Drosophila melanogaster: one gene and its partners. The protein of the gene in region 1 interacts with the protein of each later gene in a pairwise test. Each region holds a gene or a part of one and is shown in the gene's direction. Other genes may lie near its edges.

The links.
Region 2: the proteins of Su(var)3-9 (region 1) and Su(var)205 interact in binary tests that used the Drosophila melanogaster proteins (3 or more experiments, as listed by UniProt).
Region 3: the proteins of Su(var)3-9 (region 1) and His1:CG31617 interact in binary tests that used the Drosophila melanogaster proteins (3 or more experiments, as listed by UniProt).

What each region holds. Positions count from the first base shown.
Region 1 is NT_033777.3:15,257,458-15,267,064, reverse strand, and holds Su(var)3-9 (suppressor of variegation 3-9), read left to right. Parts: upstream 1-3,606; 5' UTR 3,607-3,717; coding exon 3,718-3,783; intron 3,784-4,127; exon of another isoform or gene 4,128-4,226; coding exon of another isoform or gene 4,227-4,268; intron 4,269-4,343; coding exon 4,344-4,518; intron 4,519-5,167; coding exon 5,168-6,834; 3' UTR 6,835-7,201; downstream 7,202-9,607. Other genes in the region: CG14864 (uncharacterized protein), read left to right, coding at 1-336; ATPsynO (ATP synthase, oligomycin sensitivity conferring protein), read right to left, coding at 477-632, 695-1,138, 1,375-1,404; Set, read right to left, coding at 2,036-2,046, 2,110-2,460, 2,523-2,712, 3,121-3,378; eIF2gamma (eukaryotic translation initiation factor 2 subunit gamma), read left to right, coding at 3,718-3,783, 4,344-4,518, 7,379-7,615, 7,682-8,555, 8,623-8,698. UniProt on the Drosophila melanogaster protein: Histone methyltransferase that specifically trimethylates 'Lys-9' of histone H3 using monomethylated H3 'Lys-9' as substrate.
Region 2 is NT_033779.5:8,209,126-8,212,813, reverse strand, and holds Su(var)205 (suppressor of variegation 205), read left to right. Parts: upstream 1-1,691; 5' UTR 1,692-1,970; coding exon 1,971-2,084; intron 2,085-2,147; coding exon 2,148-2,264; intron 2,265-2,340; coding exon 2,341-2,461; intron 2,462-2,710; coding exon 2,711-2,979; 3' UTR 2,980-3,188; downstream 3,189-3,688. Other genes in the region: CG8372 (uncharacterized protein), read left to right, coding at 105-695; Ssb-c31a (single stranded-binding protein c31A), read right to left, coding at 980-1,255, 1,312-1,368; CG8419 (uncharacterized protein), read right to left, coding at 3,543-3,688. UniProt on the Drosophila melanogaster protein: Structural component of heterochromatin, involved in gene repression and the modification of position-effect-variegation. Recognizes and binds histone H3 tails methylated at 'Lys-9', leading to epigenetic repression.
Region 3 is NT_033779.5:21,420,209-21,423,377, forward strand, and holds His1:CG31617 (histone H1), read left to right. Parts: upstream 1-1,646; 5' UTR 1,647-1,805; coding exon 1,806-2,576; 3' UTR 2,577-2,669; downstream 2,670-3,169. Other genes in the region: His3:CG33803 (histone H3), read left to right, coding at 1-388; His2B:CG17949 (histone H2B), read right to left, coding at 2,983-3,169. UniProt on the Drosophila melanogaster protein: Histones H1 are necessary for the condensation of nucleosome chains into higher-order structures.

The sequences.
Region 1 (9,607 bases):
ACCAATGTTCTGGTCCTGGAGGAGAGTCCTTTGAATGATTGCAGCCCCAACCCAGGGCAGGATGCGAGTACACTAGATAGCAAGACGAAGAGTAATTTTGATGCTCAACAAAACGCCAACGATAATAAAGAGCAACATAATAGTTTTCTAATCAACTGGCTTGAGTCCCCGGCCACGAGTAACTTCACCAAGGTTCTGGAACTGCAGAGATCTCGCATCAAGGAGCTGGAGAATCTGCTGGAGCAGCACAGCCTTCTGCAGCAGACAATCCAGCACAAGGTTGCGGAGCTGCAGTGCACAGATATACCGGATCCTAAAAATATATCTAAATCATAAACCAAATCTAGTGCGCATATCTCTGAATAAATTTTGTTGGTTTTCAAAGGGTGAAGAGTGTTTTATTCGCTATTACCGCTTGAATTCCAATACCAAACTTTCAGTTTGACCATCTAAATCAAGAGCAAATCCTTAAGAGTCTAGGCAGCGGTCTGGATGACATCGGTGTAGAGCTTGACCTTAGTGGCAATGCTCATGTCGACGTACTTGTCGCCAATGGAAACGATCAGGCCACCAATGATGCTGGGGTCCACGCGGGAAGTGATCTTCAGAGACTCGTTGCCCTTCAGGAAAGACTGCAAAGCAAATGAGCAATAAATTGAGTGGGTGAGACAAGACAGAAGCTAGGCGTAGCTACCTTAAGGGCACCCTCCAGCTGCTTGCTCTGGGACGCATCCAAGGGCTTGGCGGTGACCACCTCGCAGACGACCTCACCGCGATGTGCGGCCATGATGGTCTTGTAGGCATTGATCACGGTGTCCAGCTTCTTTAGACGTCCGTTGTCAGCCAGCAGACCCAACAGATTGACGGTGGCCGGGGCGAAGCGGAGCTTCTCGGATGCCTCCTTCAGAGCGGTGGCCATGACCTTCTTGTTGATGATGGGGCTGGTCACGTACTCGCGCAGCTTCTTGTCGCTACGGATGGTGGCCTGCAGGGCCGTCAGATCCTTCTCCACCTGATCCAACTGGCTCAACTTGGAGGCAGCCGAATACAGGGCGGTAGCATAGCGACCCTCCAGACCGAACACCTGCACTGGTGGCTTCACCGTCGCCTGGGCGGCAGCGGAGCTGAGGGTGCGGCTCTGCGGGATAAGCAAACAAGAGCACTTGGTAAGTTTTTCGGCTTATTAAACATAAACTACCCGCGGTTCGTGGGTTAAGATGGGCAAAAATTACATAACCAAGAAACGCGCGTTAGATAATTCTACATATGCGACAGCGGGTTGCAAACGCAATAAAAATTTGACATGCACTTAAAATGGCTTGGCATTGACCGGAGCTTGTTCACTTTTTTCTATTTATTCGCATTATAACATACCAAAAGTGCCAATTTGTTAATAGAGGCCATCGTTTTTATCCCGACAATTTTTCAGCTAAAAATCTCAGCTGTGACCAGGGCTACGTTACTTGCTACTCGACGTGTGGCAGGGTTGTTTTGAATGGCGTAAGGGTTGCAGGACAGTTATCGATTACAAAAAATAGCTAGATTTTAAGATTTATACTAGCTAGTTAAATAAAAGCGAATTTTCATTTTAAAAATGATATTCTGACTTTAAAGTAATTCTTAAAGGATATATTAAAAGATAGGTATTTCTGGGTACCCAAAATCTACCTTAATAGTAACACCTCTAATTTGCTATTAAATAATTAATTAATTAATAAATATTAATTAATAAAGTAATAAATTATTTTATAAACATCGAATTGAATACTTTGGTAATTCTTTACTTACATAAAAAGACACGGCTTGAGATTCGATTTACGTCTTTTTATTTGTTTTAAATTAATTTAATGGTGATTCTCATTTTCTGCTGCTCTTTAATGGATGTATGACTTTTGCTTATTTCGAAACCTAAATATGTCCTTAAATCGTTGCGAATATGTAAATGTTGCATAACCATCGGGAAAACTATAGTTGCCAGTGGTTATAAACAATGTGGGCCTTCGGTTGCGAGCGATTTGAAATTGCATTAATCAGTTTACTTGTCATCTAAAATGGTTGGTTAGGTGGTTAGTAAATTCCTTCTGTTCAAAAGGCACTCCATTAGCTTACCCTCATCCTCTTCCTCTTCCTCGCCTTCTCCATCCTCACCGTCCTCGTCGTCAAATGCCTCCTCATCATTATCTTCGTTGTCCTCCTCGTCCTCGGGCTCCACCTCGATATCAGGTACCAGATAATACTGCAGTGGATTTGGCCAAAGGTCGTCTTTTATCAGTTCTGCGATCTCGTCGTTGACGGGATCGGTGTTATCCGAGAACCAATCGAAGAAGGTTTTGTATTCGGAGTTGCGCTTCTTCTTGTTTCCGTACGGCTTTGTCAGCAAAAGTTTTAGCAGGTTCTTTCCCTCCTTCCATTTGATGGGCGTGCTGGTAGACGCGGGCCAGTCTCCGTTCTCGGAAGCAGCTTTAATTGAAATAGTAATGGGTTAGCTAAGCGGATTTGAATCAATCGTTGGGAGAACTTACCCGCTGAATTCAGGTGGAACTCTTTGGTGAGCACCTTGTTTTCGAAGTAAGGATTCTCGTCGAAATGGAAGTTGATGCGGTAACCCGATTTGATGTCCTCAAACTCCTCAACCTCAAGTTTGTTGAGCGCGTGCAGGCACTCCTCCTCCTCCTCGTCCAGAATGCCGGATACTTGCGGGTGGTTGATAAACTGCAAATATGGCAGTTGGGATTAGCTAGGGGATGCATGCTATCAAGCAGAAAGCCATGTTTATGGCCCCTATGGCACTACTTTTCTTTTCAATTATGGCAGCAAATATTTCAGTGGTTTTTGATTTGAAGCCATTTTGAACTGTGCTATGTTGTGTATTTCCCGGCCAGACGGATATATCGATAGCACGATTTTTCCGGGAGGGGGAAAATGCGCGGGGAGCCGGTGGTGTCGGCATTGCAGCCCAAAGATGAACAAGAAAAAATGCCTCGAATAGAGAAAATTTCTTGTACATGTGTGCAGCGATTACCATCACTTCAGGGCTTCGAAAGATCTAGTCGGCTCCACTAGAACCCATCAGACGAACACGCGGAGGGGACAAACATGGCCGCGGATCGAAGTACTCACCGAGGTCACCCAAAAGTTGGGGATGCGCTTGACCAGCTCGCTGCGCTTCTCGTAGCAGGGCTTCCGCAGCTTGTTGTACTTCTGCTCCACCTTGAGGATCTCCTCGCTGGCCTTCTCGTTCAGCGCATCGATCTCGTTCTGGCAGGCATCAATTTGCTCCAACGCCTCCGACTCCTCCTCGTTGTTACCGGCGGCGGCGGATGTGTTGCCATCGGCGGGGGCGCCGTCCAGCTTGGCTCGCTTTGGCACGCTCGACATTCTGCACGCTCTTCCGTTGTGTGTACGCTCGTAATTCCCGAGATATTTGAACAAAAAGCGGCGGTACAGTTGAGCAGAAGAGAAGCGAAGCGGATTTTTAACCTTTCGTTTGCGGCTGAAGAACTGTAAGTGTATCGATAGGGCGGCACTCTATCGATACGCATCGCAGTTGGGCACCGGTGTGACGTGTCCAACACTGGCCAACCATGATTAGAGCACTATCGATAGGCATTGTCGGGTCCAATCGTTCTTCGATATCGAGATTTGATGCCGAGCTGTAATAGCTGAAAATTATTATTTTCATTTTGCATACGCATCGTTTTTGAAAACATCAGCAACATGGCCACGGCTGAAGCCCAGATCGGTGTGAACAGGAACTTGCAGAAGCAGGACCTCAGCAACTTGGTAAGCAGCCAGCAAAGACGACCGCCAGACGCCGCCTTCCCTTTTTTTCCGCCCGTGTGTGAAAGTATACGCGTCGTCATTATGGAGCCGCTTCCCGGAAAAACAGCGGGGTGCGGGTCGCAAGGACGCGCCCAGATTGTCTCGAACGGTTCGCGGACCAATTTCGAGGGATATACCAGTGGGTTTCGCCAGGGCCAGCAGTGATTTGTTGTGGGTGAGAGATCACGGTGAAAATGCAGCACGTGGCGCTACATTTAGGGTCTGTTTGGTTTATCCCGCAACTTTGGCTCTGCATATGGGCATGATGCGGACTCTGGCGGTATTTGGGCTCTGGCAAGCAGATCAGTTTCGCGAGGACTACCTGACTGTTGTCATCAATTTTGAGTTGATGCAATTCAAGCGACATTCTAACCTCAAAATTGACGGCTTTCCTATATACACACATGCATCTGAGAGGGGATGTTTTGTTAGGGGGTGTGGCGGCGGTAAACAAGACTTGTGCTCTGATTTTCCTCTATTAAAGCGCCTTTATTTATCGTATTGCATTTGGAATCTTGCAGGACGTCTCTAAACTAACGCCTCTATCACCGGAGGTCATCTCCCGACAGGCGACCATCAACATCGGCACCATCGGTCATGTGGCTCACGGCAAATCCACGGTGGTCAAAGCCATATCCGGCGTGCAGACTGTGCGCTTCAAGAACGAACTGGAGCGCAACATCACAATCAAGCTGGGTGAGTCAGGGATCCGTGTAAGCTAGCCTAAGCATATAATCTTAAGATGTATTATTCTACTTGATAATAATTTAGCCGTATGTTAATTCTTCCTGCTCGCCCGTAAACCCCGTAGTGCCCTAAGATTGTAAACCTTCTCGGCTGGCCGAAAATAACCCATAATTATCTTAAGAACCACTTTTTAACACCGTATCGCGACGGCACACCGCGTAGCCAACTCTGTCGCTGCTTTACATCGAGATAATGTTGTAAAAGGGTTCTGCGAATGATTGTCTCTTGTAATTCGAATTCTTGTGTATTTTGTTAACTTAAATTGCTGGATTAGCACGCGTTGCCTTGTGTCGTCGCCTAAGTAGTCTAAAATGATAAAAGAAGTTGTCTTTAGAATGTTGTACTTTACAAAGCTGAATTAAAAAGCGTTCCCAAAGATTGGTATTAAGCATATCTTCCTGTTAGCTTAGTCTTGAATCTGTTACATTGATTGATACGACTGATCCAGCAATTTAATTAATTGCCAATCTTTTTCTTCTTTTTCCCTATTTCTCTTGTTTTTACGATTTTTTCGGTTGCGACGCGTCCGCCAAATAAAAAAAAAAACACACCAAACCCATCATCCAATCCACAATTGTCCAAAACTTGTCATTTGCAGAACGCTTGAGCGAAAAAAAAATCAAAAATCTTTTGACCTCCAAGCAGCAGCGACAGCAGTATGAAATCAAACAGCGTTCAATGCTGCGCCACCTGGCCGAATTGCGGCGACATAGCCGATTCCGCCGCCTCTGCACCAAGCCAGCTTCGTCTTCCATGCCAGCATCCACCTCCAGTGTAGATAGACGCACCACCCGGCGAAGCACCAGTCAGACCTCACTGAGTCCAAGCAATAGTAGCGGCTATGGCAGCGTTTTTGGCTGCGAGGAACATGATGTGGACAAAATACCCAGTCTCAACGGATTCGCCAAACTGAAGCGTCGACGCAGCAGTTGTGTGGGCGCCCCAACTCCCAACTCCAAGCGGTCGAAAAATAACATGGGAGTAATTGCCAAAAGGCCGCCCAAAGGAGAGTACGTTGTGGAGCGTATTGAATGCGTCGAGATGGATCAATATCAGCCAGTCTTCTTCGTCAAATGGCTGGGATACCATGATAGCGAGAACACCTGGGAAAGTCTTGCCAACGTGGCCGACTGCGCCGAAATGGAGAAGTTTGTGGAGCGGCATCAGCAGCTCTACGAGATATACATAGCCAAGATAACCACTGAGCTTGAGAAGCAGCTGGAGGCATTGCCACTAATGGAGAACATTACGGTGGCCGAAGTAGACGCCTATGAGCCACTCAATCTGCAGATCGATCTTATACTGCTCGCCCAATATCGCGCTGCTGGCAGTCGAAGCCAAAGGGAACCGCAGAAAATTGGAGAACGAGCCCTGAAAAGCATGCAAATCAAGCGGGCCCAATTTGTACGACGCAAGCAGTTGGCTGATCTAGCATTGTTCGAGAAGCGCATGAATCATGTGGAGAAACCGTCACCGCCAATACGTGTTGAGAACAACATTGATCTGGACACCATAGACAGCAATTTCATGTACATACATGATAACATAATCGGCAAGGATGTGCCCAAGCCGGAAGCGGGGATTGTGGGCTGTAAGTGCACTGAAGACACAGAGGAGTGTACTGCCTCTACGAAGTGTTGTGCCCGCTTCGCCGGCGAGCTGTTCGCCTACGAGCGAAGCACACGGCGCTTGCGCCTTCGTCCCGGAAGTGCCATCTATGAGTGCAATAGCCGCTGCTCGTGCGATTCAAGCTGCTCCAACCGTCTGGTGCAGCACGGACGCCAGGTACCGTTGGTGCTGTTTAAGACCGCCAACGGCAGCGGATGGGGGGTGCGAGCCGCAACTGCCTTGCGTAAGGGTGAATTTGTGTGCGAGTACATTGGAGAGATCATCACCAGCGATGAGGCAAATGAGCGCGGCAAGGCGTATGACGACAATGGGAGGACATATCTGTTCGACTTGGATTACAACACAGCTCAGGATAGCGAGTACACTATCGATGCAGCTAACTATGGCAACATCTCGCACTTTATCAATCACTCTTGCGATCCTAATCTCGCCGTGTTCCCCTGTTGGATCGAGCACCTGAATGTCGCGCTGCCGCACCTCGTGTTCTTCACACTGCGTCCAATCAAGGCGGGCGAGGAGTTGAGCTTCGACTACATTCGCGCGGACAACGAAGATGTGCCCTACGAGAACCTCTCGACAGCTGTGCGTGTCGAGTGCCGCTGCGGAGCTGATAATTGCAGAAAGGTCCTCTTTTGAATGGACTTGAAGTACTATATTTAAATGGCACGCCGTTACCCACCTGAGACATCATTGCATTGAACCTTTTTTTTTTTTGTTAACATATATATATATTACTAGTTGGATTTTATATTCCGACGTTTTAATTATTTATTTGTTAATAAATGCTAATATCGATATATTGGATCTATATTATGTTTGAGGATCTATATTACTAGAGGATAAAACGAGTAATTCTATATAGTTTGTACTTGTATACATTTCATAAACTTAAATTTTAATTTAGTAATAACTTAGTGTTTTGACAAACAACCTTGTAATGTGCTGAAATTATTACCGCATTAAGTGCAAATTATTATTTTACAATAAATATTTTACGATTATTAAGTGATGTTTGTTTGTGGCTGTATAAATGATCTGGAAGGATCAAAGAAATGAATTTAGTTAGCAATAGCACTTAATTCCTTGTGAAGAACGAAGGATTATTTTACGTGTTTGCCAGGCCAGGAGTTCGAAGAATGTATTGTAATATTCTTCATAATTATTATCGCATTGCTTTTAGGTTATGCCAACGCCAAAATCTACAAGTGTGACAACCCCAAGTGCCCGCGCCCGGCCAGCTTCGTATCGGATGCATCCAGCAAGGACGACAGCTTGCCCTGCACTCGGCTCAACTGCTCCGGCAACTTCAGACTGGTGCGACATGTGAGCTTCGTGGATTGCCCCGGTCACGACATTCTTATGGCTACCATGTTGAACGGTGCTGCTGTGATGGACGCTGCTCTGCTGCTCATTGCTGGTGAGTAACCCTGGATCTCTCTGAACCGACAAAAGATATACAAATTACTACCTATTCCATGTGCAGGCAATGAATCCTGTCCACAACCGCAAACCTCTGAGCATTTGGCCGCCATTGAGATTATGAAGCTGAAACAGATTCTGATCTTGCAAAACAAGATCGATCTGATCAAGGAGAGCCAGGCGAAAGAGCAGTACGAGGAGATCACCAAATTCGTCCAGGGCACCGTAGCTGAGGGCGCTCCGATCATTCCGATCTCGGCCCAGCTTAAGTACAACATCGATGTGCTCTGCGAGTACATTGTGAACAAGATACCAGTGCCGCCGCGTGACTTCAATGCCCCGCCCCGTCTGATCGTCATCCGATCCTTCGACGTGAACAAGCCAGGCTGTGAGGTGGCAGACCTTAAGGGCGGTGTGGCCGGTGGCTCCATTCTGAGCGGCGTGCTGAAGGTAGGCCAAGAGATCGAGGTGCGTCCGGGCGTTGTGACCAAGGATAGCGATGGCAACATCACCTGCCGTCCAATCTTCTCCCGTATCGTCTCGCTCTTCGCCGAACAGAATGAGCTGCAGTACGCCGTGCCCGGCGGTCTGATTGGTGTGGGCACCAAGATCGATCCTACGCTGTGCCGTGCCGATCGTTTGGTCGGTCAGGTGCTAGGCGCCGTTGGCCAGCTGCCGGACATCTACCAGGAGCTGGAAATCTCGTATTACCTGCTGCGTCGCCTTCTCGGCGTCCGTACCGATGGTGACAAGAAGGGAGCGCGCGTTGAGAAGCTGCAGAAGAACGAAATCCTGTTGGTTAATATCGGATCCCTCAGCACTGGTGGCCGCATCTCGGCCACCAAAGGTGATTTGGCCAAGATCGTTCTTACGACGCCTGTGTGCACGGAGAAGGGCGAGAAGATTGCACTCAGCAGACGTGTGGAGAACCATTGGCGGTGAGTATACAGCCCCCCTTAAATTGTATTTGAAATCACAACTTAATGATGTATTTTTTCTCCTCAGTTTGATTGGCTGGGGTCAGATCTTCGGAGGCAAGACAATCACACCCGTTCTGGACAGCCAGGTGGCAAAGAAGTAGAATTTAGTTAGGATCCGAATGGTTCTACTTTTAAGAACAACATCAGCGGCAAAAGTGGCAGCATCATCTTTATTAGGCCTCTTCACACTGCTCCTTCTTGTCCCACAGCTCCATTCTTCCCGTGTCCGTTGATCAAACCGAAACTAATTAGTACCAACATGAAATACATACCTAACTTAATTTATTTTATTGAATTTTGTTGTCGAGTATGTATATAATATGAAAACACACGATTCGCTTGCGAGTATTGTGCATCTATAGCAGAATCAGGCATTAAAAAAGCAACTAATAGGGTATACCTTTATATATTATAATAACTAAAGGCAAATCTGATACATCGTAAAATTGTTTTTATGATTTAAATACAAAACAAAAACTAAACGAAAAAAAAAAACAAATTGTATTGCATTTTTTACAATTAAAACCGCAAGAACTGACTTGTTATTTTGGGACTTTTGGAGTGGAGTCGTTTATAAATTCTGCAAATTTTGGGAAGAACGCAGATAAGTAGGCTATATAAAACGCTAAATAAATGGAGAAAAAAAGCAAAGTCAACTTCTTGTTTATTTTTCATTATAGACCAATTTATTTTTCCACTTTTAGTTCAATTAAATTTAAATAGTTACAATACGATGTTTTTTCAATAACACATTGATACTCGTAATATTCTGTTGTTTAAGCAATTATTCATACAAATCTCAATATCGTTTTTGAAACACAATGTCCGTCAGCAGCGATTCGACTTCGACATCGATTGTGTTGAATAATTTTTGAAACGTTTTCTTTTTCGATTTGGTAAATTTGTTTTAACTATAGCACACTAATTTAATTTTAATGTATTTTTATCCTTTTGTAATTTTAAACTACTATTACCAAGTACTTTTTAGTTTAATATTTGGTTTCTTGAGA
Region 2 (3,688 bases), on another chromosome or scaffold:
TGGAATTGTTAGCGACTCGTTTCATGGGCATTACGGCCGGGAAGACCGTGAGTGACTGTTCTTGTGGCTTCCCCGCACAAATATCAACCTAATACAGTGTAATAATGTCGACAAACCCAAGTCCGCAGCGGCAACAGTCCGAGGACGTTCAGATCTCGATGGCCAGTTCCGGAGGAGGAGCCGGCAATGGCGTTCCGGATAGACTGCCTCCGATCAACGTAAAGGACCAACGCTTCCCCTACTGCATCGTTTGGACTCCCATTCCGGTTCTCACCTGGCTGATGCCCATGATCGGACATATGGGCATTTGCACTTCGTCCGGTGTGATTCGTGACTTCGCCGGCCCCTACTTCGTATCAGAGGACAACATGGCCTTTGGAAGACCCACCCGGTACATAAGGTTGCACCCCAAGCACATGGTGGGCGGCAGTTACGCCTGGGACGAGGCGGTCTCCAAAGCATCTGTGCTCTACGGCACCCGCATCCACAATATCTTCTGTGACAACTGCCACTCGCATGTGGCAACGGCACTCATCTACATGCGCTACTACGACAGCACCGCATGGAACATGATTATCCTCAGCATGTGGCTCTTTGTCTGCGGCCGCTACGTCGGAATAGGGGGTTTTATTAAGACCTGGCTGCCGTTTGCCATTCTCCTGTCCATCTTCACCATTCTGGGCATCTATTTTTAATATTCATATCTATATCAAATGCTATCAATGTACAAATCTATGTACATATGACGTCCAATAAAGGATTCATTCATTTATGTATATGTGTGCTTTTTGTAGTCCCACCACAAAGCAGATAAGGAAAATACCTATCAGGCAATTAAGTTGGTCATTCATTAATGCTTCAGCAACTGTGAAAATACAGATTTTCAATTACTAGTGTTTAAGATAACGTTTATTCAGTGGATATGTCTATAGTTAGTACATATGGCTACGACTTAGTTTGGCATGTGGATGAACTTCAATTAATTCTCGATCGCGCGGGTGACTTCTTCGGCCACTTCAAGGAGTTTCTTCCATTGAATTAAAGATAGGGAGATGCCCTTCTTGCCGGGAAGAATTTGGCCGCCCTTATCGTAGAACTCTCGAATGTCCACCGATTTGCGACCGCGGAACTCGTTGATTCGCACCTGGCGAAGTCCTTCCAGGGTCCAAGATGTAGCACCATTTTCGCCCGAATCTTTTGGATCTGAATTTGGAGCATCAGATTCCTTCGCCTTCTTGCTTGCCGGCTTGATACGCTGAAAGAGGTTTTAACTTGTTATACCTAGTTTTGGTGTATTTCTAGTTAACTTACATCATCTGGACCGCTATCGCTATCTGAGGACGAATCCTTCTTCTTTGTTTTGGGCATTTTTATAGAATTTCCGTAAAACAGAAGAAACAAAACGCAAATTGTCAAAAAATTCGTGAATATTCGCGCAACTTATTCAGTGCTGTGAAACGCGTCGATAATAGTTGTGGTACAACGGATTCCTTAATCGATTCATCGATTTATTACAAAATTTTTAAAAACAGATATTGGCGATCAGTTAGTTACGTTATTATTATAGTTATGTTGTAAAATTTAGATAGTTCTTAGTGTTAACATTTTTCTAGACTTAAAATGAAATTAATACGATGTGCAAATCTATCGGAAAATAGATAAGCGTAGTCTTAGCAGTCCACGCGTACTTTCGCACACTGTTCGGCCGGCGTCATTTTAGAACGCGCATTTTTTTGCAGATTTTTCATTTTGTGGAAAGTCTTCTAGCGCCAACACACAGGCTTATAAAAACCAATTTAGCTGCGTGCATAAAGTGTAGATCTTATTTAATCTAGGTGAGCCATGAAAGCAAAGAGAGTCGACTAAAAATCGTACTTTCCTTTCGTACTTTGCGTGTGTGTGCGGTTGTGTGCGGTTGTGCTAATTCTTTCCTTATTTTTTGTCGTGTGAAGTATTTTAATAAAAACAAAATGGGCAAGAAAATCGACAACCCTGAGAGCTCGGCAAAGGTTTCCGATGCCGAAGAGGAGGAGGAGGAGTACGCCGTGGAAAAGATCATCGACAGGCGGGTGCGCAAGGGAAAGGTGAGTTTTCCGAACCAGACGTCCCATTATATTTGGTCCTAAAACGCCATTTTCCACCTGCAGGTGGAGTACTATCTGAAATGGAAGGGCTATCCCGAAACTGAGAACACGTGGGAGCCGGAGAACAATCTCGACTGCCAGGATCTTATCCAGCAGTACGAGGCGAGCCGCAAGGATGAGGTAAGTGAAGTACAATGCGATGCCAAGTACAGTTGTGCTTGCTAGGATTTCCTTTACATCTCGTTTCGGTCCGTAGGAGAAGTCAGCCGCCTCCAAGAAGGATCGACCCAGCAGCAGCGCCAAGGCCAAGGAAACTCAAGGACGCGCCAGCAGTTCGACGTCCACAGCAAGCAAGCGAAAGTCCGAAGAACCAACAGGTAAGCTATGGAATTGAGTGTACCTACAAATATTTTCTGTACACAAATTGGTATAACAATAGTCATCACCTACAATATCCACTGGCATTTATTTGCCCTTTTCGTCAAAACTGTATTCACATATGTATCTCAAATTTTGTCCTTCGCAAGAATGGCATGCGCAAGAAAAAGATGGTCTTTGCAATAAAAAAATGCATCTATTAAAAAATTGCACTGTATTAATTACTTGTTTTTATTTTATTTATTTAGCGCCCTCTGGCAATAAATCAAAACGTACCACAGATGCGGAGCAGGACACCATTCCCGTTTCAGGATCTACCGGATTCGATCGCGGCCTGGAGGCCGAAAAGATCTTGGGTGCCTCCGACAATAATGGCCGCCTGACATTCCTCATTCAGTTCAAAGGCGTGGACCAAGCAGAAATGGTGCCCTCCTCAGTGGCCAATGAAAAAATCCCACGAATGGTAATCCACTTCTACGAAGAGCGCCTATCCTGGTACTCTGATAATGAAGATTAAACAGTTGGATCATCGAAAGCGAAAAAGAACGATTATACATTTAACGAAAAATTACCCACTTAGAATTATAGCTCCTTGCAGGCGCTTTCAAAACCACCCAACCAACTCTTAAGGCATCGGACTTTTTTCCATAAATGTCCAGAGTCAGTGTCTGTATTTATGATAACCATTTTCAATAAATAAAAAAAACCTTTATTCTGCTGGAGCCTATATAAGTAACTTTTATTTGCGACTTGTTGCTCAACGGTCAGGATATGACGCGCATATGCTGACCATATGGTAATAAGGAGAATTCAATTGGTAATTCCAGAGGTCGAAAGGGATTTTGTAGCCTTAGCAATCTGAGATTATTGTGTGCACATTGTAAATGGACTGTCGGGTCTGTTGGAATGCATGTATTTTGCAGGTAGAAAAACGTTTATTTTGAAGTATCCTTGTTGTCTATCTGCGCGTGCGTATAAACTACAAGATCTTTGAAATTTCACAAGATGAACAAACAAAATGGCGAAACCTGGCTATATGTTAATTTATTCGTTTTATAGCCCTGCATCCTAATCAATTACTTAAGAATTAAGCAGTTTGTTGGCCACATTGCATTCCGAGTTCTCAAGGACATTTCCACAGCAGGACCAATGACGTCTCCCTGGATGTCCAGCATGTCCATGACCGCAGCCACTATATCCAGGCATATGACCCTCACACGAGCACA
Region 3 (3,169 bases), on another chromosome or scaffold:
TCGCAAATCGACTGGTGGAAAGGCGCCACGCAAACAACTGGCTACTAAGGCCGCTCGCAAGAGTGCTCCAGCCACCGGAGGTGTGAAGAAGCCCCACCGCTATCGCCCTGGAACCGTGGCCTTGCGTGAAATTCGTCGCTACCAAAAGAGCACCGAGCTTCTAATCCGCAAGCTGCCTTTCCAGCGTCTGGTGCGTGAAATCGCTCAGGACTTTAAGACGGACTTGCGATTCCAGAGCTCGGCGGTTATGGCTCTGCAGGAAGCTAGCGAAGCCTACCTGGTTGGTCTCTTCGAAGATACCAACTTGTGTGCCATTCATGCCAAGCGTGTCACCATAATGCCCAAAGACATCCAGTTAGCGCGACGCATTCGCGGCGAGCGTGCTTAAGCTGACACGGCATTAACTTGCAGATAAAGCGCTAGCGTACTCTATAATCGGTCCTTTTCAGGACCACAAACCAGATTCAATGAGATAAAATTTTCTGTTGCCGACTATTTATAACTTTAAAAAAAAAATAAGAACAAAATTCATATTCTATTATTTATGGCGCAAACGGTACTGGGTCTTAAATCATATGTAAAAATACTAATTCTGCCAGAGAAGGAATAAAAATAATCTTATTTTAATTGTAAGCTCGACATTTATTAAATTAAAGAAGAGGTTAATAAATATAAAATATATATAAAAATATATATTTTTATTTGTTCTTTGTGCGAACATCCTTTAAAGCAGTGAAAGTGTCGTGCGGGGAAAGGGACTCTGAACCTTAAACATCTAAAAAAAAATCTGAATTCTGTGTAAGACAGTTTGAAATTAATGAAATTACATTGATGACGGCAATATTTATAAAATAACAGAAAATAATAAAATAAAACTAGCTATTTTATATTTTTTCCATGTGTTAACTGAAGAATGTGTTATTATTGAAGAGGTCGTACGGGACAATTGACACTGTCCCTTCAAACGTCTGTAAAAAATAAAACCTATGTAAAATTCAGCACGGAAATTGGCTAATTTTGTTGCGGAATGTAATATATATTACATAATAAAGGATAATACAAAAATTGTTTCTTTTTATTTTTTATTTGATTTATTTATTTGACTACATAGACGGTAATGCATATGTGGCGAGGAAATCGATTGATTTCAGAACAAATTATTTTAAAATATGCATGAAAACACATTAATAACAAGCAAACACATTAATAATTTAAGAAAATATTATTTATTATATTAATATTATGTTATTTAAGAAAGTATCTGTATTTTTAACGATCGAAAATTATTTCTGAATGCTGCTTTAAAGCAAATTTTTCTGTAGTTCAATGTGAACTTAAATCAAGTAATAAAGTATCTTAATTAATAATAGACGCTTCTTTCAGAAGCCCTTCTAGGGGATGAACGTTTCAATTTTAATAAACATTACGAATTAGTGAAATATTTGCAATGATTCTTATTTTATTAGATGTTTTTTTATAAATTGGTCCAGTTAAAAATTTGAATATAAAAATTCAATCAACATTTGAAAGTCTCAAAACCCATATTACATCCTTTTAAAAATGGAAAGTGACGAAAAAATTATTTAAAAGTGTAGAACTATTAAAACCTTATTTTTATTAATGATTTAAAATACTAAAAAATTAAAAAAAGTTTACACTTCAAGCAAACTTCGACATAGTAAATGACTGATGTCAGTAGCATTGTTAAAGTGCTCTCCTCCTCGATTCTCATCAGAGCAAAGGAGGTTGGTAGGCAGCGCGCGAGCCATTTTTAACAGAAAAAAAGTGTTCTCAGTGAAAAAAAGATGTCTGATTCTGCAGTTGCAACGTCCGCTTCCCCAGTGGCTGCCCCACCAGCGACAGTTGAGAAGAAAGTGGTCCAAAAAAAGGCATCTGGATCTGCTGGCACAAAGGCAAAGAAAGCCTCTGCGACGCCGTCACATCCGCCAACTCAGCAAATGGTGGACGCTTCCATTAAAAATTTAAAGGAACGTGGCGGTTCATCACTTCTGGCAATCAAAAAATATATCACTGCCACTTATAAATGCGACGCCCAAAAGTTAGCGCCATTCATCAAGAAGTACTTAAAATCGGCCGTGGTCAATGGAAAGCTTATCCAAACTAAGGGAAAGGGTGCATCTGGATCTTTCAAACTGTCGGCCTCTGCCAAGAAGGAAAAGGATCCGAAGGCAAAGTCGAAGGTTTTGTCTGCTGAGAAAAAAGTTCAAAGCAAGAAGGTAGCCTCTAAGAAGATTGGTGTCTCCTCTAAAAAAACTGCCGTTGGGGCTGCTGACAAAAAGCCCAAAGCTAAGAAGGCTGTGGCTACCAAAAAGACTGCCGAAAATAAGAAAACTGAGAAGGCAAAAGCCAAGGATGCCAAGAAAACTGGAATCATAAAGTCGAAGCCCGCCGCAACAAAGGCGAAAGTGACTGCAGCGAAGCCAAAGGCTGTAGTAGCGAAAGCGTCAAAGGCAAAGCCAGCGGTGTCTGCAAAACCCAAAAAGACGGTGAAGAAAGCATCGGTTTCTGCTACCGCCAAGAAGCCGAAAGCGAAGACTACGGCTGCCAAAAAGTAAATTGTGAAAAAGTGCAGTATTTGGTACATGTTCGCAATTAAAATTTTAGATTTATGATTTATAGATCTGAAATTTGTTTAAACAAGTCCTTTTCAGGGCTACAACGTTCCGTTGCAAGAGAAAAAAACTTTTATTTTCTTCCACTTATTTATTAGCTGACGTTCGCAGCAACAATAAAACGTTTCATGTCATGAATTACATTGCATGTTGGTCGCATTCAGTTTTCGTTCCCGATTTTTTTGTATTTATTTGAACATTACCCAATTACCCATATTGCGGGTAAATAAGTTTTATTTGTAAATTCATATTCGATGATTGGTAGTTGAAAAATGCATTTCTTTGGTATAACACATTGTGGCCTTGAAAAGGGCCGTTTTGGATTATTGTCCGCATTCGCAGGAGAAAATTATTTAGAGCTGGTGTACTTGGTGACAGCCTTGGTTCCCTCACTGACAGCATGCTTGGCCAACTCTCCAGGCAAAAGCAGGCGAACAGCCGTTTGGATCTCCCGACTGGTGATGGTCGAGCGCTTGTTGTAGTGAGCTAGACGAGACGCTTCGGCAGCAATTCGCTCGAAAATATCATTTACAAAG